Caenorhabditis elegans: one gene and its partners. The protein of the gene in region 1 interacts with the protein of each later gene in a pairwise test. Each region holds a gene or a part of one and is shown in the gene's direction. Other genes may lie near its edges.

Region 1 (8,230 bases):
CGCAAATTCTGCGAATCTCACGCCTCATCCATTCGTCTCCTTAAAACACTTTTTTTTCTATTTAAGTTTTCAAATTTGATTCAAATATATTAGTTGATCCTTTTATCAACTTTAGGTATTCTATCTGTGCTTCGATATACTACGGTCTAATTTGGAAGCCATATATGAACATTATAATTACCCATATTGTGCAGGGTATATGTTCACATAATATAAAAGGCCTGTTCAGTTCAAAAAGTATACTCCAAAATCATTGGAAAGTCATTTTATGAATGAAAACTGTCGTATCTCATCACTCAAATTTTCACACCTCGTTAGTTACAGTTCTATTCATTCCGGTAACCCTATTGTGTTGGGACATAAGATTCCTGATGGGACCACAAAAAAGTGGTGGCGTGTTTGCTACCCAACACAAATACCCTTGACTAGAGAAAGGGACTACGCAATCGTCGCGCAATCTGCCCCTTTCTCAACAGCAACAACCAAATTGGCTTGTTGAGAGGAAAAACAGTAGGTGGGATTACACACACTTTCTCTATCTGCCTAATATCTCTGTATCCTTTTCTGCTATTTTTTCGGCGCGAAATTTGAATTTGAATATCATAATTTCGTGGCAAGATCTAACTCCATTTTAAAGGTAGACGATTATTTTATCGGTGGGTCTCGCCAAGATCTCCGGAATTTTTATTGTGACCGAACCCAAATTTCATGATTTTTCAAAAATAATTTTAAGTGAATGTATAATAATGAATAGAAAAAGTCTGAATGTTCAGAACCTAGTCGGGTCGACTGAATTTTTGGAAAACATTTAGCGAACGTACATCACCCAAATTGTTAAAATAAACAGAGAAACATTCTATTCGTACCTATTCAGCCTAAATCAACCATTACATCCGTCTCCCAGTTTTTCCATTCCCACCTTCTAAATTGTATCATATATATATATATATATAAAATCTCACCTATATGTTGAGTACTCTGTCCATTGCTATCGCACATCTTCACCTCTTCATTATAGACATTAAATAGTTTCTGCTCTAACTCGCCTTCTTCAATACGACAGTTCGACGAGCTAGATGTAGAAGATGTTGAAGGACTCGAAGTAGATGTAGTAGTTGCCATTCAACGCAAATACACAAAATGAACTATTCTCTTGTCTTTTTTCTTCTTAGTTTTACCCCCGTTCAAACGCCTCCTTCCGATTCATCTTGTTGGTTGCAAACCATTTTTACCTTTCGTGCGCCGGTTTTGGAACTGCGGAACACGTAGTGTACTGTGTGGCGCCCTCCCTGTATAGTTATACACTCGACACTGCATATTTACATTGCGTTTCTTCGGTTTTCTGAAGGTCAAACCGATTGACTTCATCTCTGTTTCTTCTTTTTTTTTCAACCGAGGGGTTCGTGGCTGGCCTTCGAGTACTTTTGAACCATGGACAGCATAGTTTTCCATGTTGTTTTTACGGCCTTGAAAATTGAAGAATAGCAGCAAAAACGGTCACCTCTCGCATTGTAAACACCTGTTCTTTCGAATCAAAATGGGAATAAAACCACGAAGGAGTTTAATTAAAAGTGCTATTCAAGCTGGAACAAGAAATATTTTCGGTCCAAAAAATTGAAATCATTCAGAAAACCAACAATATAACAAGAAAAATTTAGGTTTTGAGTTTGTTTTGAAAGCTTAACAATTTTTTGTTTTCAAATATTAATTTGTTAAAAGAGTGATTTTTAACAATTATTATTTATTGGAATACATTGATGTACCTTTTCTATTTCTTATATATTCTCTTCAAATATATCAAAGATCATTCAAAATAATAAAATTAAATTTCAGATGAGCTCTAGTAGTAGTGATGAAAATGAAACAACGATACACAGAACAGGATCAAATACCGGTGGAAGTGGAATCTACTCACAACCTCGAGCAGGATCATCAAAAAGAACATCGAATGTGCGACATGATGTTAGTGATGTAGATGATGAAGAAGAGCATTATGCAAGATTTCGCGAAGATACGGTAAGGATTGTTGGAAAAAACAGATTTTCGATGTTGGTAAAAGGCCAAGTTTTGACTTTTTGAGGAATTTGAGCAATTTTTGTACCTGTACAATGGTCTTCTAAGTAAAAAAAATCGGAGCGTAAAAAATTAGAATATAAAAGTATTTTTTAAGCTTTTTAACTATTTTTTCTGAAAATACAATATTTAAAAGTTTAATTACAGGCGATCGAGGTTGACGATGCTATAACAGTTCTTCTTTCATCTCTACATTTCGAACACAAACGTGATATTGTTCCGACCGATGAAGATGATAATAAACTTCGAGAACTTCACGAAAAGATTTTTGCATTGATAACGAGTGAATCTGATGTTAACAGGTAAATCCGAAATTTTCAGAATATTTTTCAAAAAATCGTTTAATTTTAGAAAAAGACGGCTGAAAAAAGCTCTTCCTGCGTCAAACTGTGTTAGAGAACAAGTATATTATCTTCGAAGGAAACCATCAACACCACCAGCTTCTTATTATCATCGACTAAATGCAGCTCTTCACACAATCGTTAAGGAATCATTTGGAGAAGAATATCGAAAAGTTGCTACAGTATTAGGACTTGTTGAAGCGCTTGCAGAAGTTTTAATTCTTGAAGTTCACACATTTGGAATCAATGAGACCAATCCTGGAGAGCATCGAAATATTCGAAAACTTATTGCCAATGCTCTTACGAATTTAACATACGGTCAAATTCACTCTAAACGCCGGCTATGCTCATATGATGGATTCATTCGATGCGTTGTTCGAATTGTGATCGAATCTCCAAATATAACTCAAGTATACGCTGGACTAATCAGAAATCTCTCATGGAACGCCGATTCAGGAATGAGTGAAGCTCTTCAACCAACAGTTCATGCACTTTCAATTGCTGCAGTACATGCACATACACATAGATTCGATGTTACAGCAACATTATCTGCTTTGTGGAATCTTGCTGGTCACTCAGTAGAGAATAAACGAACTATTTGTGATACTCCGAATTGTTTAAAAGTATTAGCCAGCCTTCTATCTCCTGATGCAAGATTCACGTCACTTGTTGATTCAGCTACTGGAATTCTGAAGTATGTATCACAATATCTCGCGAATACTTCCACGCATTTAGAGGTTAGTTTTTGATTTGTTTTTGTTGAAAAATGCAAGTGAGGTTTCAAAGTTATCTTTTTTTTTCATAAATAGAAAGAAAAAAATCGAAAAAAATTTCATGGCGAGTCAAAATTTTGCAAAAAAAAATCCAAATCTTGCTAAATCTTTCGTCAACTTGCGCTTGTTTCCAATTTTGGACATTTCTGAATATCGACTTAAAATGTGCCTAAATAAATTAACGAGAGATAAAAGTCAGAAAAATATGCCACAAAAAGTGATTTCTTCAACAGGGATTTTAAAAGAAAATTTTGGAAAAATTTTACCCTTTTTTTCACCTTTTTGTAAATTTTTTGAGAAGTAAGTAGGTTTTTTTTTTGAGAAATTACGAAATTCGATGGTTTTGTGTCAGTTGAAGTTTTTAGGCAAAAGAACCCACAAACACTTCCCTTTTGCACATAAAATTGATCAAACTGAACAAATATCATTATTTCAATTAATCCAATAAAATTTCAGCTAAGAAGCTTGCTCATCACTCGAATGCTCACTTTGCTCAAGAGTGCCTCGTTCACTTGTGTTACAAATACTCTAGGAGCTATTGCAAACCTAATTGTCAAAGATCCCCACATGCAGCAAATGATTCGGCAGGATATGGCTGCAGTACAGCAACTCAACGTACTCCGAAACTCGAATCGTGATGATATTCGGACAGCAGTGAAGTCTGTGCTGAATACTCTTAATCAACCGTGTAGTCATCGTTATGGTGATATGTCACATTCTGTTGGAGGAGGAGCCACAGGGATGCAAATGCTTTCGGAGCCACAACTTCAGATGCAAACATCTCATCATGCTTATCATGGAACTGCGTCACCAAGATTACTATCACTGAGAGCAACTCGAGCATCACCTGGAAAATATATACAACCACAGGCTCAACAACAGTTGATACAGACTCCACAAGTTGATCAAAGATCTAGTAGTCTGCCAAGACATTTTGCCGTTCAACGAAATGGATTTGTGATGGCACAGTCCTACAATCAACAAATGGATCAACATCAGCAACAACAAATGATCTATCAATTGCAGCAACAACAACAAATTATGGTAACGATTTTCCAGCGTTTTTTTCTGTAATTTTCTCTTAGTTTCAGACGGAGGATCAAGCGCAAATGGAACATCATCAACAAATCATGTACCTTCAGCAGCAACAACAACAATTTCATCAAATTCAACAACAGCAACAAATGCAAAAAGCTCAGGAAGCTGATCCAGTTCCTCCTACGGATGACGATCTAGATATTCCCACATCTACCGTAATGGGAACACGAAGTAACAGTGAAAGAAGTCTCGGCTCGATGAATCCTGGAAGTGTTATGACAAACTGGAATTCTTCTCTGGATACTGCAGCCAACAGTTCTCGTGCTCTTTCTCCTGTATCATACAATGATATTCCAGCTTCTCCAACAATGTGTGCTCAGGTGTTCAATTTACCTAAATCCACTGAATCGGAACATCATCAATTGACGTCTCAACAGCAGAACACTACACATTATAGCAGTGGATCAGCTAACACTATGACTCGGAGTGATGGTGCAACTACTGTGCCAATGGATAACATTATTACACCAACTTATGCTATTTTGAATCCAATATTGGTACACGAACAGACACCGAACGGGACAGTTCCACGAAAGACTTCAGAAGAGTTGGATAGTCCTGATGATGTTCTCCCAGGTCCATCTCTTGAGGAGGAAGAAGGTGATTATGCTATAATAGGAGGTGCCGCACAAAAGACAGATGACGAGCTTTTGACTCGTTCTATTCAATCTGAAATGCCTACTTCGTCGTCTACTCCGAAGATGAAAGTCTCGCCTCGCCTTAATGGATTCTTCTCTCCAACTCAGAAAACAACATCGTCTCCTGCATGGTCTCATCCAGATACCTCACCGATTCCAAAGTCATCTTCTCATCGAACTCAACCTAATCGTCGTCAAGATGCTTCTGATGCAGATCGTCTTTTAATGGAATCAATAATGTCAGAGATGCCAAAAAGTCGAATTATATCTCCACGACTTGCTGGTACACAACAATATCTTGAACCCGAGCCAGAGAGAAGAAGTCATTCAAAAAACGAGGAAGCCGATCGCCGCGACGCATTCACCGCATCGCATGAGCCCAGCGATCATAACGGCATTGATGTGGCAAGAGGCTCAGACTGGTCTCCACAACAACAATTACATCGAATGGAGTCATTGGAAAGCCAAGCTAGTAGTGAAGATAGTTTTGGATTAACTGCTGAAGAACCAAATTCATCAACTTCTGGTGCTGCTGCAAACACTATGAGATTTGACGATGAGATCGATGCATCTCTTCCAATGGATTGTGTCGATGATGATGATTACGACTATACTTATGATCATTTCGAAGATTATGAAGATGAGGAGGATCCTGATGCGACTCAGTTTGATGATGGAGTTGATGCACAACTAACTATCGATTGTTCAATGATTTCTAGTGGAAGCGGTTCATCGCAAAGAAATGAAACTACGACAACGTCACGAGATTCAAAAGCTTTAGCTACTTCCACACCAAAAGGATCTGCATCTTCACTCCCAGGAGTTCGACAAGCCACCCGAGTATCAACGAATGGAAAGTCAAGACTGCCTGTTCCAAAAACGAATGGATCACTTGTTGATAAGGTATTTATTCTATTAAAAAACTCTGATTTTATAGAATTAAACAATGTCTCATGAAAATTGAAAATCGAAAAAAACGAGAGAAAATTCAAAAAATTAATCACAAAATTCAATTGTATATTGATGAAAAAAAATATTTAAAAAAAACATAACTTTTGCCTAAAAATAGTAATATGACCAATATTTGAGATTTTTTCGAAAACCCGAAATTGTTTTTCAATATATCGGGAAAAAAAAAACGAAAATGTTCGATTTTAGAAAAAAATCCAAACTTGAACCAACAAAAAATGAAAACTGGTAAAAACTCGGCATTTGGCTCTAGCTTCTTGCCCAAGTTTAGACAGCTTCTGATCCAAGTTAATTTTTTTTTGTTTTATTAACGTAAATGAGTACAGTAGAAAAACAAACTTTAAAAAATATATCAGAGATATTTAACTTTTGAAAAAAAAAACACTAAAAACCATAAATAAACCCACATTTTGTTAAAGAATATTTGTAAAATATGGAAAAATAGAAAGTGAGTTTTTTATTAATTTTTTTTTAGCAAAAAAAAATCAAAAAATGCCGAGCCCTGCTCCCAATTTTTTTAAATTAACTTTGATAAAATCAAAGACCAACTGAATTCTAAACGTTTCAAATTAGATTTTCAAACCTCGCTTTTTTGCAGAATCCCAAGCCAATCATCGCTTCCCGGCGGCCACGATTGCCACCGAAGCCGACACTTTTAAAAGATAAGCACTATCCAGAAGAGGATTCGATTGAGAATCAGACGAGAGATGATACGATATATGTGAATGCTCCAGTTGTTGAGGCAGAACAAGAACGAATTTATATGAATGCATTGAAGCAACAGAAGAACATTGAGCAATCACCGTCAATTGGAAACGGATCACCTATAGCTAAATCTGCAATTGTAACGCCCTACAATTATCAGAAACCGCCTTTCACTGTAAGAAAATAATTACTTTTTTTTAAAAAGTACAGTATCAATTCAAACATGAAGAAATATTCTTTAAAATAAACATTTTCAGGGTCGAAATAATGGTGAAATGAGCAACGAGAAGAGTGTGACACCGAATCCTAAACAAATGCTTGTAACAATAGTCTAATGATCCGCTCATATACCGAACCTTGTTCTTTGTATCCCCGTCATCTCTAGTCGTTCCCAGTTTCTAGTCGAGTGTTCTCATCTTCTTATTCTACCTCGAACTTTTATATTATTGTCTAATGGACCCTGTAATCATATTTCTAGCGCTGGCAATATACTATGTTTTCCAATTTTCTGTAAAATGTGATTTGGTTCTTGTTCTTGTTTCCATTACCTGACCGCTCAATACATAGCTGTTAATATGTTTCATTCAATTTGTAATACGAGTTCTTTCAACCTCACTCTGCTCCATTGTTTTCTCATCTTTTTTGAATCATAAATATTGTATATATTTATTAGTGTGAAGAAGTATTTGTTTTATTAGAAATCGGCAGGAATGGGAGAAAAAAAAACACGAGAGAATCAGTTATATTATGCAAACTTTCAAAGAAACCATTATCTTCAATATAGTTCTTCTCTGGATATGTTACGAAGTGAATGACGATTCTTATGAGTGAGGAAGGCAGTCAGTGCGTAGAAAATTCCCAGGATGAATGTTAGGAACTGAAAAATTAGGTTCATAGGTTTTTTGAGAGTTTTTTGTTGAGGAAAAATCCAGAAGAAAAGGAGCTAGTGGTGGATAGTTTATCTCTTTGTAACTTTTTTGATTTTCGAGTTAAGAATAAATTGTTACCCAGACGTGAATTTTGCGATTTTTGCGCCAAAAGTACGGTATCTGGTCTCGACACGACGAATTTTTTGTGAAATACAAAAGGTGTGCTATTGTAATTTCAAAATTTATATCGATTTTTATAGCTTTTCGTTAAAGACATATTCGTTTATCAAAAAAAACTATAAAAATCGATGAAGTTTGAAATACAGTACTCTTTAAAGGAGCACACCCAGTTATAACTACCCATGGCGTGATTACTGTCTTATAGATGAAATTATCAAAAACAAAATTCTAAATGCAAGTAAGCCATTATATGGGCGTACCACCTATTCAAACTTCAAACTCACAGATGCAAAAGCCCATTCGTAGATAATCCGACATCCGTTGTGAATAATTCCATCGGATCCAATATCATTGCAATTGTTTGACCAACTTCCAGTTGAATAATATGCTTCAACAATTGACAGTACAATAAAAAGAACAGCACATATCACATTGAACAAAAGATCAGCTTCACGCCAACAGAAGAAATCAAGATGAGAGAGATGAAGAGTAAAGAAATATGCAATAAGGAAGATGAATGTGAGAAGCATTGCCACGCTGGCAACAGTCAGAAGAATCGTTTGTCCGAATAAAATTCCTTTGAA
Region 2 (7,658 bases), on another chromosome or scaffold:
GTGTGTTAGATGAGAGGTCTTTTTTTTGGTTTTTCTTCACCTCTCTCAATTTTCAGAGAAAACTCTACTTCTCTAATTCATTTTTTGATCAACGAAGAAATGTTTGGATGCCCATCTTTGGTTTGTAGGCACCGCCCACTAGCTGCTCAGTTTTTCTCTAATGAGAGATTTCAGATTTTCAGAAAATCTATTAATTCTTATAGTTCAAAGGTAACGCTAATAGGTTTGATTTCATTGATCTGTATTTTAAATTTTTATTTAACTCCAATGTCAAAACATAGCTCCTGAACCACATATCGGAAAAAGTTGATCCTTTCCATTATAAAGATATGGACTAAACTCAATTTTCGCTAAATTTAATCAATTATCAGTCACTCTACTTCTCTGTACTCTAGCTTTCCCCCAATTTTTTGTCTAACATTCTGTCAATCGACAGTCTCTGAGAAGTCGTTTTGCCCACTGTCGTTCAATTTCTTGTCTTATCAACATCTTTCTTCTTACATTTTGTCGTCGCCTCCCGCTTGTTGATGATGACTATCTGTTTCCCTCGTTTCATATGACTATTGATTTTATTTAATGTTCCAATAACTTTCGACAATTCTTTATTATATTTTGAGGATTTATATTAATTGTGCACTCTCTTGATGTATCGATATTTTCAATTTCTCGATTAAGCTAAAAAGTGTGATATGAGATGTAAGGACTAGCTTTATTAGACTCAAAACTGTCTGAAAACACCAAATTTCTTAATGAAACTTTTTGAAAACTTCTCAAAAAAATTATGGTGGCTCAAAAAGGACCTAAAATCAGTTAAATTTTAAAATTTGAGCAACTCTCAGCGGCTGAAAACTTATTTTTTTGTCATATTTTGGGCCGCCATAGTTTTTTTGTGTCCTTTTCAAAAATTTAATTAGAAAATTCGGTGTTTTCAGACAATTTTGAGTGTAATAGAGTAATTAAAAATTCGACTACACCGCCTTTAAGTCCAAAGATTGATTGAATCCCGATCTTAACTATTTTATTTGAAATTCACTTGATAATAAGGATAAACTAAAATCACTACACAAACTACCCTTTCTGAACTTGAGTATAGTTATCTTCAAAAACATTATTGTTTACGCTCGGTGAAAACACTACATTCTAGTGATTCCCCTGTTCTTTGACTTACTTCAACTACAATTTTTTCAAAGATTGATCGTAGTTCATTCATAGTTTGATGTTAGTCACCCCCTCAATCTTGCCCCATTCATACCATTGACGTAACATCAATATCCAGATTTATATTTTTGAATCGGGAAAATTTTGCTTTTAATCTTTTTGTGTGCCCTTTTCTCCTTCACTGGCTTATCACATGATTCTTGTAATCAGTTTGTATTCACTCAATATAAAGAAATTGACAATTTTTCTTGAATTGAATTCAGCGAAATTTCCAGTCTACCTAAGTTCTTGTTTTTAGATTTGGGTTTTAAATTGAGCATTTGATCTCTATGATTTGTTTTCTGCAACATTCTTATGATACTTGCCTAACAAATAGTCAATTGTCCATGAAATTGTTACAAATCTTGACGTCCTCTGGGACCCCGTCCAAACAACTGTCACTAACATATCCAATCGATCGTTTTGTGCACCCTTGGTATTTATGATGTTTCAATTTGTCTCACTACACTCTACCCTAGTGCTATAAATCATAACTAAACTTGATTTTTTATTCAAAAGTGTTAACATTCGAAAATCTAACAACCCCTTATGTTCTCAATGATAATTTTAAGAACATTTGATACAATTTTTCTAATTCCCTCTACCCGATTCTATTCAATTTAAAATTGTCATACATTTTCAGCCCACCTGAAAGTTGCCCGTCATTACGGGGAAGTTGCCCCAATCACACCAACCTCAGCTTCACTGAAGCTGCACCTATTCACTATCAAGATGGAAGACAATCGGAAAAGGTAGAGTTAGAATTCTGTTAGAATCGAAATTCATTCTTAAACATTCCATGATTGGATGCCTGAAAACGCTAGAAGTACCGTAGTCCTTTGGGTTTGCTCCATGCTCTGCTCGCAAATGAGAGAGAGGGAGCATTGGCAGAGGTAGATGTATTGAAAATGCGCATTTCCGAATCGAATATCAAATGTGAATCATCTATATAAAATATATCTCGCTCTTTTTAGACACAACTCATTTTTAATCGGAGATGTTAGATAAAGTAAATTATGAAAATAAATTGTGAAATAATTGTGATTGAAGGTGGAGTAGCGCCAGTGGCAGTTTTGCCTAAAAAATACACTTACAATGGCTCGAAACAACCAAAAATCATAATAAAACACTTAAAAATTTTTTAGATTTTTCATAATTTCCGGTCAAAGTTTTGGCAAATGGCCAAAATTTTTACAAACATAAGTATTTGAGGAATGCCGCATGTTCCGATCCCTACTATGCTTCCAAAATTATGAGTGGCAAAAATTGAGTGATTATCATCTAACGGACGGTAAATAAACAATTTCAAAAAATTTTTGACAATTTTTAATTTGATATTCGGTCATTTTAGTACCATTGGATTAGTTTTCAACACTTTCTCCACTGGCTCCTCCTACTCCACCTTTGAAAAAATAAATTTTCCCAGTTATACTTAAAACTAAATTAAATCGAAAAACCTCATGAGAAGTGTACTTATATAGGTATATAATTTTTTGAAATTCACCAATTTTGGGGTGACAAGAAATTCAAAATCAAACTTTTTAGAAACATGGAACGCCGTCGTGAAACATCGAGACACGCGGCTCGTGATCGTCGGTCTAAAGAATCGGATATATTTGATGATCTGAAAATGTGTGTGCCTATTGTTGAAGAAGGTACCGTAACTCATCTAGACCGTATTGCACTTCTTCGTGTTGCCGCCACAATTTGTCGACTGCGCAAGACAGCCGGTAATGGTAAGTGACATCGAATAAAGAAATAGTTGATTCAACATCAAAAATCACTTGAAAATCGTGTTTTATGCTGAGAAAATCGACCAAAAATCACTGCCAATTTTTCTCAAATTAATATTTTTCTTTCAGTATTGGAAAACAATTTGGACAATGAAATCACAAATGAGGTATGGACTGAAGACACCATCGCCGAATGCTTGGACGGCTTTGTTATGATTGTTGACAGTGATTCTTCAATTCTTTACGTCACTGAAAGTGTTGCAATGTATTTAGGATTAACACAGGTGAGCAATAGAAAACTTGCTTCTTTAACATCGATATATTTTCAGACAGATTTAACAGGTCGAGCCCTTCGAGACTTTCTTCATCCATCCGACTATGACGAGTTTGACAAGCAATCAAAAATGCTGCACAAGCCACGTGGCGAGGACACAGACACCACCGGCATCAACATGGTGCTTCGAATGAAGACAGTCATCAGCCCACGTGGAAGATGTCTGAATTTGAAGAGTGCTTTGTACAAATCAGTGTCTTTCCTGGTTCATTCAAAAGTTTCAACTGGTGGACACGTGTCATTCATGCAAGGTATCACAATTCCTGCTGGACAGGGTACAACTAATGCAAATGCATCTGCAATGACAAAGGTGAATATCTGCTTTGAATGTTTCATAGTAAGATTCTAAAGTTTGAACTTTTGATCTTGGGAATTTCTGCTCCTCCTTTCCGCTTCTTGATAAACTGATGGAATTGTGAGACAAAATGTTGAGTAGACGTTACACAATTTCATTTTCTTCTTATTCTTCTGCTCGCTCGAAAAGTTTGTTCTTTTGATCTTTAAAATAGAGAATAGTGCTTTGAGCAAAGCACACTCAGCCGTTGGCACCTCGCGCATAGAAAACAGGATTAGAAAATTGGAGAGAAGTAGAGAAGCACAAGCACATGCAACTTGGCGTCATCTTCTCCTTTTTTGAAGCAGAAGAGAAAACGGAGAAGATGTTACATCTTGTATTGCTGCTCCGTTTGCAAAAGTAAAATGAGCAGGGACTCTGAATACCTAGATAGAAAAGTGAGTCCTAAAGGGCGTGTATATTCGAAAACTTTTTCAAATCAGATTTATAGATGCTATAAGTTTAATAAAAATATAGATGGATTAATTTACAGTACACGGAAAGCCCAATGGGTGCATTCACAACTCGTCACACTTGCGACATGCGCATCACTTTCGTTTCGGATAAGTTCAATTACATCTTGAAAAGTGAGCTGAAGACTCTCATGGGCACCAGTTTCTACGAATTGGTACATCCAGCCGATATGATGATAGTATCAAAATCCATGAAGGAACTTTTTGCCAAAGGACACATCCGTACCCCGTATTACCGGTTGATTGCTGCAAATGACACACTTGCCTGGATTCAAACAGAAGCTACTACAATCACACATACGACGAAAGGACAAAAAGGACAATATGTCATTTGTGTTCATTACGTTCTCGGAATCCAAGGAGCTGAAGAGTCATTGGTAGTTTGCACTGATTCAATGCCAGCTGGAATGCAAGTAGATATCAAGAAGGAAGTGGATGATACAAGAGACTATATTGGAAGACAACCTGAAATTGTGGAATGCGTCGATTTTACTCCATTGATCGAGCCAGAAGATCCATTTGATACGGTTATTGAGCCAGTCGTTGGTGGAGAAGAACCTGTTAAGCAGGCTGATATGGGTAAGTACATGTTTAAGAACGTATTAAAAGTTTGTAATTATACAGTTTGATTCACCTAAGTTTTTTTTATCCAAATTGAATAATTTACGAGGTACGTATATAGGAATTTATTCGGTGACGGATGAGTATGAGCAACGTGTTTATGGGCAAATTTCTGCCGGCAATGATATAGAAGACTGCGATATGGATTCTGATACAGAATCCATAGAAGATTCCGGTTTAGCACCGGAATTCGATGTGGATCTGGCTCCGATTTATAATGAGAAAATGGAAGTTGACGGAGAGGATGAGGACGGCGGAGAGGAGGTACTTTGGGAAATGGGATTATGATTACTAAGTTAAAAAAACAACAGATCGCAGTTTTCCCCTCCGTTGTCCTCATACCTCCGTGAGTTTCTCTTTTTCTTATTTTCAAACTTGTCAAACTTGTCCATGCATGTCGTATTATTTTTTACCCTACGCCTACTCAAAGTTCCATACATTTAGCAAGTGATTTCTTAACGTGTGTATTTCAGGAGCACGTAAGAACAGCTACGATGACGTTTTGCAATGGCTTTTTCGCGACCAGCCAAGCTCTCCGCCGCCGGCACGCTACCGGTCAGCGGACCGCTTCAGGACAACCGAACCGTCGAATTTCGGTTCCGCTCTGGCCTCGCCGGACTTCATGGATTCGTCATCTCGTACCTCCCGACCGAAGACATCATACGGACGAAGAGCACAAAGTCAGGGAAGTCGAACAACTGGATCGTCTTCCACGTCAGCATCGGCCACATTGCCACACAGTGCCAACTACTCGCCACTTGCAGAGGGCATCTCACAATGTGGACTTAACAGTCCCCCGAGGTTAGTTTTTTATACATTTTTCACAATTAGCACGTTGAGCATGTACATGTTTATAATATCCTTGTATCAGTTGCAGTATCAAATCTGGACAAGTCGTGTACGGAGACGCTCGATCTATGGGACGTAGCTGCGATCCGTCCGATTCGTCACGACGCTTTTCCGCCCTTTCACCATCAGATACTCTCAATGTGTCGTCCACTAGAGGCATCAACCCAGTCATCGGAAGCAATGATGTGTTCTCCACTATGCCTTTTGCCGATTCTATCGCCATTGCCGAAAGGATCGATTCGTCGCCAACATTAACCTCTGGCGAACCAATACTTTGTGGTTAGTTTTTTTTAAATGTTCAAATCAATCTCATTCGTGAAAGAAATCAGATAACTTTCAACAAAATGTTTAACTTTCAGACGATCTTCAATGGGAAGAGCCTGATTTATCGTGCTTGGCACCATTCGTTGACACTTATGATATGATGCAAATGGACGAGGGGTTACCACCAGAGCTTCAAGCTCTTTACGACTTGCCTGACTTTACACCTGCGGTACCTCAAGCCCCAGCTGCTCGGCCTGTGCACATTGACGTAAGCCTGTTTTGTTTTTGGCTCCTAACATTATGTTAATTTTTGCAGAGAAGCCCACCAGCGAAGCGAATGCACCAATCAGGTCCCTCAGATTTAGATTTTATGTACACTCAACATTATCAACCATTCCAACAAGACGAGACATATTGGCAAGGACAGCAACAGCAAAATGAACAACAGCCTAGTTCTTATTCCCCATTTCCAATGCTCTCTTGATTATTTTCTACCCCCTCTCAAACTGTTCATTGTTTTGTTTTCAAAAATATACTCTTCATTCATTCAAGTCACACTTCTTATTACTTAATTCTATTGCTCTTTTTAAGAATAATGAGTTTCAAGAATCCTCCCCGATAAATTTTCCCCCATTCCTTTTTCCCTTTCCCTCTGATTTCTTTATTTAGTAAAAAAAAGAAGAATCGTAGTACAAAACGTGTCTATCTGTGTGTCCGTTTGTCCGTTTTTCCCATCTCCATAGTGATAGTTAATTGCATCATTTATACAACGAATCTTCTTATGTTAAGTTTTCTTTTCATTTTTTCACAATGCTCTCGTCTCATTCATTTTCAAAATTCTGTCCGTCTTCGTTTTCTTCTCGATAAAACCTTTTTGGTTTGATCATCTTTTTAAAACTTTACAAAAAGCACTATTACAGAGTTTAGCATTCATTTTTGTGGAAAATATCTGAAATTTTGAGGTATGAGCTTGTAAAGTGAAAACGCGTCTAAATCTATTCGTCTTGATTTACAAATTACTTCAAACGTACGATCTTCCTATTAGACTTTCACTTCTTAGTAGTACTGCACCTCGAACACCTTCTAAAATTTAGACTGTTTATTTTGAAATGTTTTTTTGCAAAATTACAACAAGGCTAGGATTATTGCATTTTTGTTCCAATTAACCACAATTTTGCAAAATGTCTTTCAGAAACAGTTGTTCTTGTAAATGAAAACATGGAATCCTAAACAAAAAAGGCGTATGAAAATTAGTATTGCACAACCTAGTTGTAATGCATTCGCTTTGAAAAATAGTATTGCATTCATATTAATAGATAATGAATACATATACGCATCAGACCTCCGGTTTTTTTTGTGGAAAAAGCGAAAAATGAAAAATTTTCTTACTTTTTTCTGTTTTCCAATTATTCGGTTTTTCGATTTTTCGGTTTTGCACAAGAAAAACTAAAAAATGGTCATGCAATAGTCAATGTTGAAAACTGTCAGTTTCAATAATTTCCGACAATCGGGGGTTTTATGCAATTTTATAAGTTTCAATATGCTAAGTTTCACTAATCAAACCGATTCTTTTTGCAAAAGTGGTTTGAAATTCCATATCAAAGATCAAGATCTAGAATTATCAAAACTACTGTTTCGGAACTAAAACAACTGCCTAGTTCAATTTGCCATTCCAAATCAGGGGTACACGGCAATTTTTTCTGTTGTGTCCGTTAGAATTGTAGTAATTAGTCGAACCCACAATTTATTGATGAGGTTAAATCGGTAATAAATATATAACAAACAAATGAGTTCAGTTCTATTCACACGTGTTGATGCCCTCTTGATAACCTTCGCTCACGTCATACTTCTTT
Region 3 (8,609 bases), 6.1 Mb from region 1:
CTTGGAAAAAACATTGTTTACGTATTTTCTCAATGGGGCGCACTTGCAGCTCACGGTCAGTGGAAATTCAAATTTTTGAGTTTAAATTTTAGTTAATTAGGTTTAAAGAAAACTTTCATTTTCAAAAATAACAAAATGTGCTCAAATACCCCCTCAAAATCAAAATTATCCTATTTTTCTCATTAGAGCGCACTTGCAGCTTGCGATCGGCGGGAATTTTTTTTTATATTTTTAAGTTTAAAATTGAGTTTTTCGGGTGTTTTGAAATGCGGTTAATTTAGTTCCCTTAAAATTTAAACGAAAAAAAAAAGGTTTTTGCATACTTTCTCAATGGGGCGTACTTGCAGATTGGCGGGAATTCTAATTTTCAACTAAAAAAAACCGAGTTTTTTGCATACTTTCCCATAATTCCCCTATCATTTTCTTCATTTCTAGACCGAAAAAAAAAAGATTTGTGAAGATCTCCGCCAATAAAAAACATCAAAAAGTGCCGCTTCTTCAAGGTTTTTCACAATTTTTGGCGGCGGGGAGAGGAGGCGCAGCAAGTCGGAGTGGACGGCGGGCTGGAGAGAAATATGAATAAATCGACAAGACGCAGGCACGTGTCGGCGAACATCAAAGAGTCGCTGGTTTTGAAGAAGGGGGCGCCTCCATTCTCACACCGACCGCCCGAGAAGAAGAGAGAGGAGGCACTTCACCCCCCAATTCTCTTTTCCTTCTCCTTTTCTCTTTACCCCCCTTGATTTTCCTACCCCCATCTTTTTCCTAAATCCTTCTGTTTTACCCATTTTCCTTTTTAGACCATCTTTGGGACTATAATATTTGCTTTGAAAACTGGAAAATTATATGAAAAATCCAGTTTTTAAATTTATTTTAGGCTCAGTTTAGGCCAAACTATTTTAGGTCTTTTTTAGGCGTAAAAATTTGAAAATTTTTAGACTCGGTTTAGGTCAAACCATTTCATGGCCAAATTTCGGCTTGAAATCTAAAAAAAATTACGGTAAAATCTTATTTTTTGAAATGTTTGAAAACTCAAAATATTCCAAGAAAAAAAAAACTAGTTTTACAACATTTTTCTGGGTTTTCTTAAAATCCTTGTTGGGCTAAGAAATTTTAAACTAAGAAATTTTGCTGAAATCTTAAAAAAATTGTGTTGTTTGAGGTTTACTGGCCAAATTTTAGACTTTTTTTTTAATGGCGATAATTTCAAAAAAATCAAGTTTTTACAGCGTCACATTTTTTAAACATTTTTTAAGCTTAAACTATGAGATAGCAAAAAATTGTCTACTAACAAAATAATTACCGTAAAATTTCCTACATTTTATTAATAGCCAACTTTTCGATTGCTTCAGGCTCCACAGAGTTATAACGGTTTGAACTCAAGAGGCGCTAGGCTCCTTTTAACTTCAAACCTCTATAACTCTACAAATAAAAAAGCTAGCAAAAAATTGTTAACTATCAAAATAATTATCATAAACTTTCCTACATTTTATTTATTGGAAACTTTTTGATACCGTCATTTTCTGCAGAATTACAGGATTTTGAACTTGACCTCTACGCCTCCCTTGGCCCCCAGTTTTAACTTAAACCCCTATAACTCTGCACACAATGGTGCTAGCAAAACATTTGAACTGACAAAATAATTGCTATAAAACGTCCTACAATATGCTAGTTAACAACTTTTTGATGGCATCAGTCTCCGCAGAGTTACAGCTATTTGAACTTGACCTCTAAGCCTCCCTTGGCCCCCAGTTCCAACCTAAAAGCTCCATAACTCCGCAGAGAGCAGAGCTAGCAAAAAGTTGTCAACTAACAAAATAATCTACGTACAATTTTCTACATATATTCAATTTAAATTTTTCTGCTAGACCAACTTACCAGCAAGATCAACGCCCCTAAAGTTAGGGGCCCCTCCCGGTAGCCGGTCGAGCGTCCCCAGTAAACTCTTCCGGGGGCACCCGAAACAATGTTCACTCATCAATCGTTGTCATCTTTCTGGAGACATGTGTCTTATCTGTGTGTGTGTACTACTACTCTTCCCAATACACCCCATTACTCTCCGTCACTATCTCTGCGTCTCTCACCCCCGCCACTCTCTCGCTCTCGCCCATTCATTGAGTAAGCGAGGGGCCTCATTCCTTGATTATCAGCCACTGATAGGAACAATAAGACACCCATAGTTGTTCCATTTTTGCAATTAGAGAGGGAATAGTGACGCTTATAATATATTGTATATCCTATATCTTATCACAGTTTTTTTTTTTTTTTTTTGTGTATAGTTTTGGCCTATTTTATAGGTTTTGAGGGGGTCAAACTGCTAAGTTTAAATAAAATTTGTTTAATTTTCAGTAAAAGCGTCATTAGAAAAGTTTTGAACAAAAAATTGAAAAAAAAAATTTTGGCAAAAAAATTATTTTTTTAAAATTTTTTCAAAAAAAAATTTCCCTCGATTTTTCAAGTTTTTCTCTACTTTTTTTTTTGAATATTCTCTTATTTCAACATAATCATAAAATTCACCTCCTTTTCAGGTGCATGGAGACCCATCTCGGTTGGGCGCGAAGCCTGGAGGCCGTTCTATCCGATCGATCGGCACTCGACGCGTTTCAGGAATGGCTTATTGAGTACTCCTCGCCTCAGGTAACTTTTTTTTTGGGATTTTTCTGCGAAATTTGGATTTAGCTTGCCGAGAGCTTCAAAATAAGTATAATCATGACATTTTTACGATGATTTTGAAAATTTTTAGGTTTTGGCGCAAAATTTTTAGATTTTCTTTTGCTGCGGGACCCAAAGTTCCAATATTTGAAATTTTTACTTGTTTTCGGATGTAGCTTGTCAAGAGCTTCAAGATGAGTATAATTATGCCTAGGTTACTTCAAACTTGAAAGAATCTGGGTCTCACCGCGAAGGTTATTACTGTAGTCCCAAATTTTCGTGGCGAGACCCTAATTTTTCAACCTTTGCGGAACCTGGACATCATTATACTTATCTAAAAGCTGACAGCGAGCTGACTTCGAATTTTATAGTTTTGCAGGCGAAATCATAATTTTGTGAGAATTTTGACCAGTTACAAGGAAAGTCTGCGATTTCACGTTTTTTCGAAAATTTTTTGCGAAAATTTCAACTTTTTTTAATTTTCGAGATAAATTTCTCATAATTTAATCAATCTTTTCATGCGCTTTTGGAAAAGCATAATCATGACCACGTTTCGCAAAACGTTGGGTCCCACCACGCAACCCATGGGGTTCTGTAGTTGTTTGTCGTTGTGGGACCCCATAAAAATTAAATTTATTGAAATTCATACACAGCATCCTGAGAGCTTTGAAATAAGTATAATAGTCTAGGTTCCGTCAAAAAAAAGTTGGGTCTCACCACGAAATCTACTACTGTGGCCCCACATTTTCGTGGCGAGACCCAATTTTTTCAAACTTGACGGAACTCATGCATGATTATACTTATTTCAAAGCTCTCAGCAAGCTAAATTCAAATATTGACTTTAAATTTCCGAATTCTCTAAAAAAATAAGAAATTTTCAGTACCTCGACTTGTTCTTCGCAATCCGAGCATACGAACGAATGGCGTTGGAGGGAAAACCGGAGGTATTGATTTTTTTGCAACTTTTTTGGCAAATCGGGCAATATTTATCTATTTTTTTTAGAAATCCCAACTTTCCAAGTCAATATACTCGAAATTTTTGTCCTCTCGGACCGGAAACTGCGAAGCAATTCCCAAGCATTTTAGGGCTCCGGTAAGCTTTTCTTAAAATTTTTTAAAATCAAAAATTAATTTTTGGATTGGTGAAAAACTACGTCATGGCACCGAATTAGAGGATCGGGTATTCAGTCATTGTTCGAATTTTGTTCAAGAATTTTTAAGACGCCAACACGAGGAGTTTGTGGGCTCCGAAGAGTTTATTGAGGCTTTTAATAAGGTAAATTGTTTTTTTTTTTAATTGTGAAAATTTGAATTTAGCTCACTGAGAGCTTTAAAATAAGTATAATCATGCCTAAGTTCCGTCAAATTTGATAGAAGTTGGGTCTCACCACGAAAACCTACAGTAACCCAGGATTTTCTTGGCGAGACCGAGGTTGTTTGGAAAATTTACAGAATTTGCGAAACCTATGCATTCTTAATGTAATATCGGCGGTCTCAGTTCAGATTTTCAGAATTTTGGCGAAAATTTTAGGGTTTTCCAACAATTGGGTCCTACGACGAAATTTTTCCGGTGCCTAACTTTTTGAATTTTGATTCTTTGCAATTTTTATTTACAAAATTAAACTCAATTGACTGAAAGCTTCAAAATAAGTATAATCATGCTTAGGTTCCGTTAAGTTTGAGAAAAGTTGGGTCTCGCCACGAAATGTATTACTGTAGCCCCAAATTTTCGTGGCGGGACCCAACTTTTGTCAAATTCAACCAAACCTAGGCATGATTATACTTATTTGAAAGCTCTTTCTAAGCTAAATTGAATTTTTATAGTCACAGTGTGAAAAATTTGAAAACCGAGAAGTTGGGTCCCACCACGAAAGGGTTACTGTAGGTTTTCGTGGCGAGACCCAATTCTAATAGAACCCAGACATGATTATACTTATTCGAAAGCTATTTTTAAGCTGAATTTGAATTTTAGCATTTTACGTATCTTATCGCAATTCTGAAAAAAATTTCCAATCCCAAAAACTAAAAACCCCAATTCCAGATGTCATCTACCACCGCCGACCAGCTCCCGGGAGGCTCCGCCCACCATTCATCACACCAAAACACCATGAGAAGGTCGTCAGGCACTACCTCCCGTAAAAGTGCCGCACAAATCGCCACCCAGCTCACAGCTGAGGCCCTCCTAAAATCGAAACACGACAGGCACAGCAAACTTGGAGAAACGTAAGTCGCCTACCTACCCTACCTATTTAAATTTGAATTTTTTTTAGAAAACTTGAGAAAATGTACCCACCGACACGTCAACCATACGTATGCAACGCCACTACCTCACACAACGACTCGGCTGTCAGCTCGACGTTTTCTGGGGACACGCCCGAAGCCCATAGGATGCATAGTAATAGGTAGGTGATTTTGGTTAATGTATTTGAATTAAGCTTGTTGAGAGCTTTTAAATAAGTATAATTATGCCTAGGTTCCGATAAAATTGGGTCCCGGCACGAAAATCTACACTAACCTTTTCGTCGTGAGACCCTACTTGGCAGTTTTCAGATTTTTTACTTTTAAATTGTGATAGCTGAGCTCAACTTACCAAGAGTTTCAAAACAAGCATAAACATGCCCAGGTTCCGTTAAAATTGGGTCCCGCCACGAAAACCCCGAGTTACTGTTGGTAGGTTTTCGTGGCGAGACCCAAATTTTTTCAAACTTAACTGAACCTAGGCATTATTATACTTGTTAGAAAGCTCGTTACAAGCTGAACTTTAATTTCAAATTTTTAGGGTTCAATAAATTATTTCTGAAAAAAATCGCGACGAGACCCAAATTAAGCTTATTTTTTTGAAAATTGTATTTTTTTGAAAACCTTAAATTTTAGTGTTGAGAGCTATTACTACAAAAAAACCAAAAGTTTTCGCGGTAAGACCCTAAAATTTTGAAAATTTTCAGGCCATGGCATGATTATACTTATTTTGAAGCTCTCAGTGAGCTTATATCAAATTTTTATCTAAAAGTGTCTAATTTCCAGACTCCGCCATATCCGAGACGAACAAGCCCGCGAGAATCACGGTACCATGACACTGCCACGTGTCGAAAAAGCCAGCGTCGATGGTCAGCAATGGGATCATTCTTCTGAATCAGGAAGAAGAAATTTTGCAATGGAAATCACCAGAAAACTGCTTAGGCATATTGATAAGGTTAAGCTAAATGATGAGATGGAGAAGAGGATTGACGATATCGAAGAGTGTCGGTATACGGTAGGTTTTTCAGTTTCGAGTTTTAGGCTTTGAATTTGTAAAATTTGAAATCAGCACGCCGAGAGCTTCAAAATATGTATAATCATGACTAGGTTTCGCCAAGTTTGAAAAATTTTGGGTCCCACCACGAAAATGTGGGGTTACAGTAATACCTTTCGTGGTGGGACCCACATTTTTTAAAACTTGACGGAACCTAGGCATGATTATACTTATTTTGAAGCTCTCAACAAGCTGAGTTTGAATTTGTAATTTTTAAAGTGAAATTCAAAGAATTTTAGGGTCCCACCACGAAATCGTACTTCGCGGCAGGACCCAACTTTCTTCAATTTTGCAATTTTGCTTGGAAACTTATAAATTGGAGCTAACTTTGCTCATAGCTTCAAAATAAGTATAAACATGTCTAGGATCCGTTTTATTTAAATATTCCTGGTTTAAGCGTACAGTAACCCTAGATTTTCGTGGCGAGACCCACTATTTTTCAAATTCAACTAAACTTGAGCATGATTATACTTATTTTGAAGCTCTTTACAAGCTGAGCATGTTTTTTTAGTTATCTAGTCACCACTGCAAAATTTGGATTTTTTGGGTCCCACCACGACTACAGTAACCCTGGATTTTCGTGGCGAGACCCATTATTTTTTGAATTCAACTGAAATAGGGCATGTTTATACTTATTTTAAAGCTCTTATCAAGCTGACTTCAATTTTCAAATTAATTTTTCAGACAATCGACATGGTAAACGGCACGGAGCCCAACGACGATCTGGGGAAAATCGATGAGGACGAGGAGTTGGATGATTATCTGAAAATGAAAATGACAGATGATTCCCAAAAAGGATCAACAAATCGATCACCTAAAGGCCCAGCAGGAGAGCCCAACAAATCTGGAGAAGGATCGAAAAATAGTGAGTTCCCATGCTCCGGTACCATATGTCGGGTTATTCTCATGAAGGGATTAATATTACTAATAGGTGTTAGAATTGGAATAGCTGTTAGTAAACATCTTAATGACAAAAATATTTGTCAGGGAACGTTTTTTTTTAGTTCGAATCTATGAAAATTAAAAATAAAAAAATTTTTGAAATTTTTTTTGAGCAAAAACTTTTTTCTCCAAAATTAATAAATTTAATTATTGAAATTATTAAAATCACGTCTGCCTCATTGAGAGCTTCAAAATAAGTACCAACATGCCTAGGTTTTCTTGATTTTGGGTTCCGCCACGAAAATGGGTGTTGTAGCTTTTCGTGGTGAGAACCAACAACTACAAAATGACATTTTTGCTTTAAAACTACAAAATGCAAGCTCAGCTCACCTAGAGCTTCAAAATAGGTATAATCATGGCTAGGTTCGGTGAAATTTGAAAATTGTTGGGTCTCGTCACGAAATGTATTACTGTAGCCCCAAATTTTCGTGCCGAGACCCAAAAATCTTCTAATTTGACGAAACCTAGGCATGTTTATACTCGTTTTAAAGCTCTTGACGAGCTGAAAAAAAAAATTACTAAAACTGTAAAAGTTTTAAATTTTAAATATCTTTCGTGGTAAGACCCAAATTTCTGAAATTTCAAAAAAAAATCCAGTATTTTTATATTTCCAGTCAATTTTCAAACTCAGCTCGTTCAGAGCTTCAAAATAAGTATAATCATGCCTAGGTTTGGTGAAATTTGGAAATTTTTGGGTCTCACCACGAAAGTTATTACTGTAGCCCCAAATTTTCGTGGCGGGACCCAACTTTTTTCAAACTAGACGGAACCTAAGCATGTTTATACGTATTTTGAAGCTCTTCATGAGCTGAATTCAAATTTCCAATTTATAATATTTTCCAGCCACCCTCTCCCCAACCAATCGTGCTCCCGCTCAGCTCCACAACACAATTCGGGTCCCGAGACGAAAAGATTACCCCCGGGACACCTCGGCTTCTCTAAAATCTCATCGTCACCATCAAATCGACACAAATCGAATGATGAGCCAATCAATGTGCGCTCCATCGTACTCCTCAGCCAGCTCCTCCTACAGTAGGGACTCCTTCGCGCCGGCGCCCACTACCAGGGTGAATTTTGCTCCGGGGAGCAGCAAATCGAGTCAATTCTATGATTCTTCGGGAATTGGGTCTATGGCACCGTCGGCGTTCTCCGCCACTTCGTCACTGGATTATAAGGATCGGAGGCAGCACAGAAAGGCTCCAACGCCTAAGAAGCACTCGAAAATTGGGAAAAATTTGTCGAATTTGATAACTATTAGCTATTTAGGTAAGGTTTCATTTTTTTATACAAAAAAAAGTGAAAAAAAAAATTTTACAAATTTTTTTTTGAAAATTTTTTTGAACTTTTTTTTCAGATTTTCTATGTTTCTAGGGTAGATTTTACCCTAAATTTTATATTTTCTAACATTTTAACTCAAATTTTTTTCCAGGAACCGATAAAATCCCTGTGGTAACACATGTCCCTAACGATGGACCAATGACGTTGGCGGAGTTCAAGAGGCACTTTGCTCTGCCAAATGGAGCACATCAGTGAGTTTTTTTTTGGGTTTAAACTGGGAAAATATTGATTTTAGGTTGATTTGGAAGTTTTTGGAAAATTTTGAAAAAAAAAATTTTTGCTCAAAAATATTTTTTTTTGGAAAAACAAATTTCCAAAAATTTTCAAAAATTTTTTTTTTCAAAATTCTCAAAAACGTTATTTCTCAATTAATATGGTATAAATG
Region 4 (7,097 bases), on another chromosome or scaffold:
ACGAAATCAAAGACCGGATAAAGACATATATCGGAAATTGTGCCGACAACGAGCCCATATTGAATTTCCGGCTCAAAAACGCCTGGCTTGATGTTCACCAGCGACACCTTCAGAATTGCAGCGTCTGATGAGTCGAAAAACGCCAAATCGTCGCTGAAAATTCGATTTTTTTTCGGTATTTTTCGGCTTTTCCGCTTACTTTGTCTCGTAATTCCACATATAGAGATTGTTATCAATGACGACCCAAACTCGGCTGATTTGTGTGAAGAATCCCATGCTAAACTCGCTGTGAATATCTGAAAATTCACCAATTTTTCGCTGAAAAACCCCCCCATCGGAAACAATGCTCTCTCACTGCTCATTTGCATTTGAAGCTCTCCGGGTATTGGGATTCGCCGTGTGCTCACAAACTCCGGCGCTCCCTTCACATAAAACTTCTCGCCGAGACCGGAGACGGGCGTCGTGCCGTGTTGTGTGAGGCGATCGAAGAAATCCGATGTCTCCATCATCTGCTCGACGTGGTGTGCCACCTTGTTCGCCGCCGCTTCTGCCGAGTCGGCCGAGCCCAACTCCATAAACGAGACACTCATCTCGGAGGATGGAAAGCTGCTGAAAAAGTCGGAAAATTTTGAGTGATTTTTGATATTTTAACCTTTAAACTTGAAAATTATAGCAAAAAACTGTAAAAAACCCGGAAAACTTCCCGCAAAACGCAACTTTTCGCGCAAAATTCCGAATTCAAATTGCAATGCGGCGCGGAAAAGTGGGCGGGGTCGCGTGTTGCAAGTCCCCCGCACACCTCATCGTGTACTCCTCTCGGACAAGCGCAACAGCTGACAATTTATTTTTGCGTGCAAAAAAAGTCGTTTGTTTGCAATTTCTCACCAGTTTTCGGAGATTTTCTTGATTTTTTGCGGTTGCGCATCGTAAAATACGTATTTAAAATGTGTAAACTTTGGCTCCAGTCGACAAGAAGCTTATGAGTCATTGCCTGGGAAAATTGCTCATCAATTTCCTCATTTTTACGAATAATTGGTGTTTCAATGCGTATAAAAACAAGAAATCGGTAAATTTAGTATGAAATATATTCGAAAATAAAGGTTTTAAGCGTATTTTTCAATTTTCTTCTACTAAAAACCGAACTTTAGCCTAAAAACCTGCTTATTCTGCTCGAAATTCTCGATTTCGCCATGTTTTCCAATTTTTTAACACAGTTTTTCAAAAAAATTCTTCATTTTTCCCATAATTTAGCCGAAAAACTCAACTATTTTGCCCTCTTTTTCCCTAAAACTCGCCATTTCCTACCAAAATTTGAAAATTTTCACTGTGTCCAATCGATTTTTCTTCCTAAAAGTACCATTTTCTCCAATGTTCATTTATTTTTCAGAAATTTTCACTAGAATTACTAGATTTTCTGTGCCAAAACCACGATTTTCAGCAATTTCTTTCTTTAAAATCTTATTTTTTGCCATTTTAAGGTACTTTTCCAACGAAATTCCTGATTTTTTGATTTTTCCACGCAAGTTTTGGCCGATTTTTAACTGATTTTCAGCATTTTTTCAGCCAAAAAAACATCCATTTTTGTTCATTTCCTGAATTTTTTAAATGGAAATTCCTTGATTTTCTTGGAAAATCACGCTAATTATTATTCAATTTCCAACTTTTTCATCCAATTTTCTGCCTATATTGACTCGTTTTCCTTTAAAAAATCGAATTTTCACCCGTTTTTTCACATTTTCAGCAATGTTTAGGTTGAAAATCATATTTTTATTCATTTTAAAATATTTTTTCCCACGAAATTCTTGATTTTTTTTTTGAAGATTTTTGCGTTTTCTTCTCAAAGATGGTGATTTTTGGCCGATTTTCATAAATTTTCGCTCTCAAAAACAAGATTTTAAGCATTTTTCAGCCGAAAAAACTTTCCCCTTTTATATAATTTTTCTTGATTTTTCGTCTTTTTTTTCTGGATTTTTAGGAATTTCTCGTGATTTTTGATGATTTTCCGTCTATTTGGGTTACGTTTTCCAGAAAATTTTCCCAACTTTGACCAATTTTGCGCGCCTAAAAATTCCACGTTTCTAAACAATTTCCCGCATTTTCAGAAATGACGACAAACGGGTTCGATCCATTCGAGTGGCGTTCATTCTACTTCCCAGGAATGAGCCGTGAAGAGGCTCACAAGTTGCTCGGCGAGCCACAAGTATCGATCGGCACCTTCCTAATGCGGGATAGCTCACGCCCCGGTGAATATTCACTGACAGTACGTGAAGCCGACGAGGGAAATGCCGTTTGTCATTATTTGATTGAAAGAGGAGAACCGAAAGAAGATGGAACTGCTGCAGCTGGCGTGAAAATCGCGAATCAGTCGTTTCCAGACATTCCGGCGTTGTTGAATCATTTTAAAATGCGAGTTTTGACTGAGGCAAGCCTGCTGGCCGCCTACAAGAAGCCTATCATTGAGGTTGTCGTCGGAACATTCAAATTCACAGGGGAACGAGAGACAGATCTTCCGTTTGAGCAAGGAGAGCGGCTCGAGATTCTTTGTGAGCTTTAAAGCAGCACTTTTTTGATTAAAGGTGGACTAAACCCTGTGGGGAACTTGCTTTATTGAAATTTAAATTTGCCCATCGAAAACGTCAAAAATTAACTAAAAATCTCAATTTTTCGGCGATTTTAATTGAGAAATGGCTTGAGAAAGTGGTAAAATTTGGCAAAACTTGGTTTTTAATAGTTTTTTTTTTGCATTTGGCTTCAATTTCCCCGAATTTTCAGATTTTTTAATCGAAAAAGTGCTCTTAAAGCTCACAAAGAATCTCGAGCCGCTAAATCAGTGGATTTTTCGGGGATTTCACGAGAAAATTGACATTTCTAGTAGTTTAAATGGCATTTTCCGAACCTTTGTTCTTTCTTCTCTAAGAAGTGCTCGAGATTCCAGAAATTGATTTTTTTTCCAGAAAAAACGTTATAATTGTGAGGAAATCGACATTTTTTCTTGCATTTGGCACTATTTTCTCCGAATTTTTAGATTTTTTAAAGGCGGACCCAGTGGGGAAATTGCTTTAAAACACGCCTATGGGGCCACAATGACAGAATATCATGATTAAAAAATTCAAAAAAATTTCCCTGATTTTATATGATTTTTTGAAAATTGAAAAAAAATCTCAGTTTTCACCTAATTATTTTTGAATTTCCGCCAATTGGATTTTTTCAATGGAGCGCGCTTGCATTATTTTCATTAATTTTCAAAATTTTATTTCTTCTCATTATTGGACTGATTTTCTTCATTTTTTGGAGTTTTTCATCGGAAAATGGAAGAGAAATAAACAAGAAAAATGCAAATTGTTTGTTAAAAATTAACTGAAATTTTCTAAAACTGTGATTTCTTGAGTTCTGACAACGACAAGCCTGAAATTAGTATATTTTACAGTTTTACGCATTTTCAGTTACTTTTAAAAAATCATTTTGCATTTTTCTTGTTGTTTTCTTCGATTTTCCGATGAAAAACCACAAAAAATGAAGAAAATCAGTCCAATAATGAGAAGAAATAGAATTAATTAATGAAAATAATGCAAGCGCGCTCCAACGAACGAGTTCAATTGGCGGAAATTCAAATAGGAATTAGGTGAAAACTGAGATTTTTTCAATTTTCAAAAAATCATTTAAAATCATAAAAAAAAATTTTGAATTTTTTAATCATGATATTCTGTCATTGTGACCCCATAGGCGTGTTTTAAAGCAATTTCCCCACTGAGCGTAGTCCACCTTTAAATAATCTAAAAATACGGAGAAAATAGTGCCAAATGCAAGAAAAAATGTCGATTTCCTCACAATTATAACGTTTTTTTCTGGAAAAAAAATCAATTTCTGGAATCTCGAGCACTTCTTAGAGAAGAAAGACCAAAGGTTCGGAAAATGCCATTTAAACTACGAGAAATGAGTTTTCTCGTGAAATCCCCGAAAATCCACTGATTTAGCGGCTCGAGATTCTTTGTGAGCTTTAAGAGCACTTTTTCGATTAAAAAATCTGAAAATTCGGGGAAATTGAAGCCAAATGCAAAAAAAAAACTATTAAAAACCAAGTTTTGCCAAATTTTACCACTTTCTCAAGCCATTTCTCAATTAAAATCGCCGAAAAATCGAGATTTTTAGTTAATTTTTGACGTTTTCGATGGGCAAATTTAAATTTCCGATTGTTACCATGTTAGTGAGAAAATGAGCAATTTTCAGTAAATTTCCACCCATTTTCTCCTGTTTTTATTGGAAAATGGTAAATTTTGACTGTTTTTCAAGAAAACCAGAAACTTTTGGTAAATTTCCACATTTTTTTAATCCAAAAAGCCGCAAAAATGTTAAAAATTTACGTTTTTCAATGGAAAAATGCGATTTTCTACAAAATTCGCCTAATTTTAACCCGGTTTAGTAGAAAAATGCGAAATTCAGTGCATTATGACTATTTTCCTAATGAAAACAAGAAATTTCAGTCATTTTTACTATTTTCAACTGGAAAATGGAAAGTTTCTGCGAATTTCGACTGTTTTTCACGAAAAAACAACAAAATTCGATCAATTTTGCCATTTTTTCACGAAAAAAACTTTTATTTTATGAAAAAATTCAAAAACCCGGACTCATCGTTGTGAGACCCTGTCCACCCACCCCACTGCGCCTTTAAACTTGTGTCGATTTACGCGGTGTTTTTTTTTGGAGAAACTCTATTTTCGGACGAATTTAAACTGTTTTTAAGGCAATTTTTCACTTAAAACCGCAAAATTATCTGAAAAATAAAATTATAAACGAATTTTATAATGGAAATACGAAATTTTACCTGTAAAAACCATAAAATTTGAAAAAAAAACCGTGTTTTTTGATTTTCTCCCGTTTTTCTCAAGATTTTGTGCATTTTCCAAGTTTTTTTCGGTAATTTTCCTCGAAAATACTAGATTTTTAATAATTTTTTTTTTCCAGCAAAAACGAACCAGGATTGGTGGGAGGCGAGAAACGCGTTGGGAACCACTGGATTAGTGCCGGCAAACTATGTACAAATTCAGATGGAATTTCACAATGACAGAACCTCAAAAGGCGCCAGTCAATCGTCGATCGGAAGCAGCGGAGGTGGCGCCGAACGATTTTCGAGCGCCAGCACGAGCAGTGATAATATTGAGCTCCAGGTGTGGAAAATTGCCGGAAAAATCCACAAATTTCAGATTTTTTGCTGAAAAATTGCGTTTTTTAGTCAATTTTTGACATTTTTCGATGGGAAAATTTCGAATTTCGAGACGATTTTCCTTGTAAATTACAGAATTTTAATGGGAAAGTTGGATCTGAAATTTCTCTTTAAAAATTTGCTCAATTTTTACCGTTTTTAGTGAAAATTCGGTCATATTTTGAAATTTTCACTGAAAAAAAAATGGAAATTTCAGTCAATTTTTAACATTTCTAGTGGAAAAATCGAAAATTTCCTAATATTTCGACCATATTCCAAGAATAAACGAAGCATTTCAGGCAACTTTGACATTTTTTCACGGAAAACACCAATTTTTAGATTTTTCTATTGGAAAATGCGAAATTTCAGTCAATTTCCATCTTTCTAATGAATATTCAATGATTTTTTATTAATTCTAGTTGGAAAATGTCAAATTTCAGTGAATTTCGGCTGTTTTTGTCAAAAAAAAACGAATAATTTCGATCAATTTTGACCTTTTTACTTAAAAAAACTTTTTTTTTTTCTCAAAAAATTTAAAAATCCGGCTCATCGCTGCGAGACCCTTCCACCAACCCTACTGCGCCTTTAAACTTGTGTCGATTTACGCGGTGTTTTTTTTCGGAGAAACTCTATTTTCAGGCCGTTTTCAAGTTATTTTCCACCTAAAATCTGCAAAATTAACTGAAAAATGAAATTATTAACGATTTTTATCATGAAAAACATCTCCTAAACCGAAAAAAAAATTCAATATTTCAGCCCCGTCTGCCAGCAAAAGCCAAAGTGACGTTCGATCGTGTCCCAAACGCCTACGATCCGACCCAATTGCGTGTGAAAAAGGGGCAAACAGTGCTTGTAACTCAGAAAATGTCCAACGGAATGTACAAAGCGGAACTCGACGGCCAAATTGGCTCGGTGCCTCATACATACCTCAGATTCACCGCCGTCAGCGAATAAAATCGTTTTTTTTTTCTAAATTTTTAACCTTGAAATTTATTGATTCGCTTGCCCCTCCACCAGTTTTCCTCTAATACATTACAGCTTTACCATAGAAAAAAATCGTTTTTTTTTCCAAATTATATTTATAATGATATCATGCACAATTTTCGTTGCCTTTTCCGCCCACCGAACCCCAATTCGTGTCCATTCCATTTTGTTCACTTTTCCCTTTCAACCTGCCGGATGATTAATAAACCGTTTTAATTATGATTTTTTCGAATTTTTGTTGGAAAATGAGGTGCTATAGAGCCTCTGAGAGTACTTTTTAAGAAAAAAATGTCATAATTTTGGAGTTTTTTTCAAAGTTTTGAAAATTTACTTGAAGATTTCCAGCAAATTGCAAAAAAATCCGATTTTTCGACGTATTTTGGTGAATTTTCGGCCTTTTTTTTTCGAATTTTCTCTGAAATTGCAATAAATTCTGGTTTTTCAGGCTAAAAAACGGTCAATTTTTTCTATTTTCAACTGGAAAATGGAAAGTTTCTCTGAACTTCGACTGTTTTTCACGAAAAAACAACAAATTTTGATCAAATTTGCCATTTTTTCACGAAAAAAACTTTTATTTTATGAAAAATTCAAATACCCCGGGCCATCGTTGCGAGACCCTTTCACTCTCCATACTGCGCCTTTAAACTTGTGTCGATTTACGCGGTGTTTTTTTTTTGGAGAAACTCTGTTTTCTGTCGAATTTAAACCTTTTTCAAGCTATTTTTCACTTAAAAACGGGAAAATTAACTGAAAAATTAAATTATAAACGATTTTTAACGGTTTAGTGCAGTTTTTTAAAATAAAATTTCAGAAAATTTAGATTTTAAAGCCACATTATCGAATTTTGCCGATTTTTTCTCAGATTTCTATTGAAAACCCGCCGTTTCCTCTTAAAGCTGAAAGATTTTCCCCA

Evidence for each region.
Region 2: the proteins of apr-1 (region 1) and hif-1 interact in a two-hybrid assay, tested with the Caenorhabditis elegans proteins (one study listed by BioGRID).
Region 3: the proteins of apr-1 (region 1) and pry-1 interact in a two-hybrid assay, tested with the Caenorhabditis elegans proteins (2 studies listed by BioGRID).
Region 4: the proteins of apr-1 (region 1) and ced-2 interact in a two-hybrid assay, tested with the Caenorhabditis elegans proteins (one study listed by BioGRID).

Annotation. Positions count from the first base shown.
Region 1 is NC_003279.8:8,048,210-8,056,439, forward strand, and holds apr-1 (Adenomatous polyposis coli protein-related protein 1), read left to right. Parts: upstream 1-1,833; coding exon 1,834-2,016; intron 2,017-2,220; coding exon 2,221-2,375; intron 2,376-2,424; coding exon 2,425-3,151; intron 3,152-3,643; coding exon 3,644-4,231; intron 4,232-4,272; coding exon 4,273-5,826; intron 5,827-6,490; coding exon 6,491-6,772; intron 6,773-6,854; coding exon 6,855-6,932; 3' UTR 6,933-7,259; downstream 7,260-8,230. Other genes in the region: K04G2.7 (HTH CENPB-type domain-containing protein), read right to left, coding at 1-39, 963-1,122; K04G2.9 (MARVEL domain-containing protein), read right to left, coding at 7,373-7,474, 7,931-8,230. UniProt on the Caenorhabditis elegans protein: Has a role in endoderm cell specification and pharyngeal development. Required for the migration of epithelial cells, organization of the anterior seam cells and ceh-13 expression during embryo morphogenesis.
Region 2 is NC_003283.11:20,778,573-20,786,230, forward strand, and holds hif-1 (Hypoxia-inducible factor 1), read left to right. Parts: upstream 1-1,834; 5' UTR 1,835-1,929; coding exon 1,930-1,949; intron 1,950-2,742; coding exon 2,743-2,933; intron 2,934-3,059; coding exon 3,060-3,214; intron 3,215-3,259; coding exon 3,260-3,574; intron 3,575-3,899; exon of another isoform or gene 3,900-3,963; coding exon of another isoform or gene 3,964-3,996; intron 3,997-4,091; coding exon 4,092-4,650; intron 4,651-4,753; coding exon of another isoform or gene 4,754-4,956; intron 4,957-5,165; coding exon 5,166-5,493; intron 5,494-5,563; coding exon 5,564-5,820; intron 5,821-5,900; coding exon 5,901-6,073; intron 6,074-6,121; coding exon 6,122-6,289; 3' UTR 6,290-6,688; downstream 6,689-7,658.
Region 3 is NC_003279.8:14,173,280-14,181,888, reverse strand, and holds the start of pry-1 (Axin-like protein pry-1), read left to right. Parts: upstream 1-2,528; 5' UTR 2,529-2,532; coding exon 2,533-2,637; intron 2,638-3,533; coding exon 3,534-3,596; intron 3,597-3,655; coding exon 3,656-3,745; intron 3,746-3,790; coding exon 3,791-3,928; intron 3,929-4,378; exon of another isoform or gene 4,379-4,451; intron 4,452-4,693; coding exon 4,694-4,875; intron 4,876-4,922; coding exon 4,923-5,054; intron 5,055-5,676; coding exon 5,677-5,905; intron 5,906-6,628; coding exon 6,629-6,809; intron 6,810-7,729; coding exon 7,730-8,152; intron 8,153-8,315; coding exon 8,316-8,415; intron 8,416-8,609. UniProt on the Caenorhabditis elegans protein: Works in parallel with axl-1 in negatively regulating bar-1 signaling in vulval precursor cells and Q neuroblasts. Inhibits Wnt signaling, which affects tissue specific expression of Hox genes, egl-5, lin-39 and mab-5.
Region 4 is NC_003282.8:1,595,216-1,602,312, forward strand, and holds ced-2 (Cell death abnormality protein 2), read left to right. Parts: upstream 1-2,102; 5' UTR 2,103-2,104; coding exon 2,105-2,543; intron 2,544-4,962; coding exon 4,963-5,165; intron 5,166-5,956; coding exon 5,957-6,154; 3' UTR 6,155-6,406; downstream 6,407-7,097. Other genes in the region: npp-8 (Nucleoporin_N domain-containing protein), read right to left, coding at 1-153, 200-296, 356-590. UniProt on the Caenorhabditis elegans protein: Required for cell migration and engulfment of cell corpses but not for programmed cell death/apoptosis. Has a role in the migration of the 2 gonadal distal tip cells (DTCs).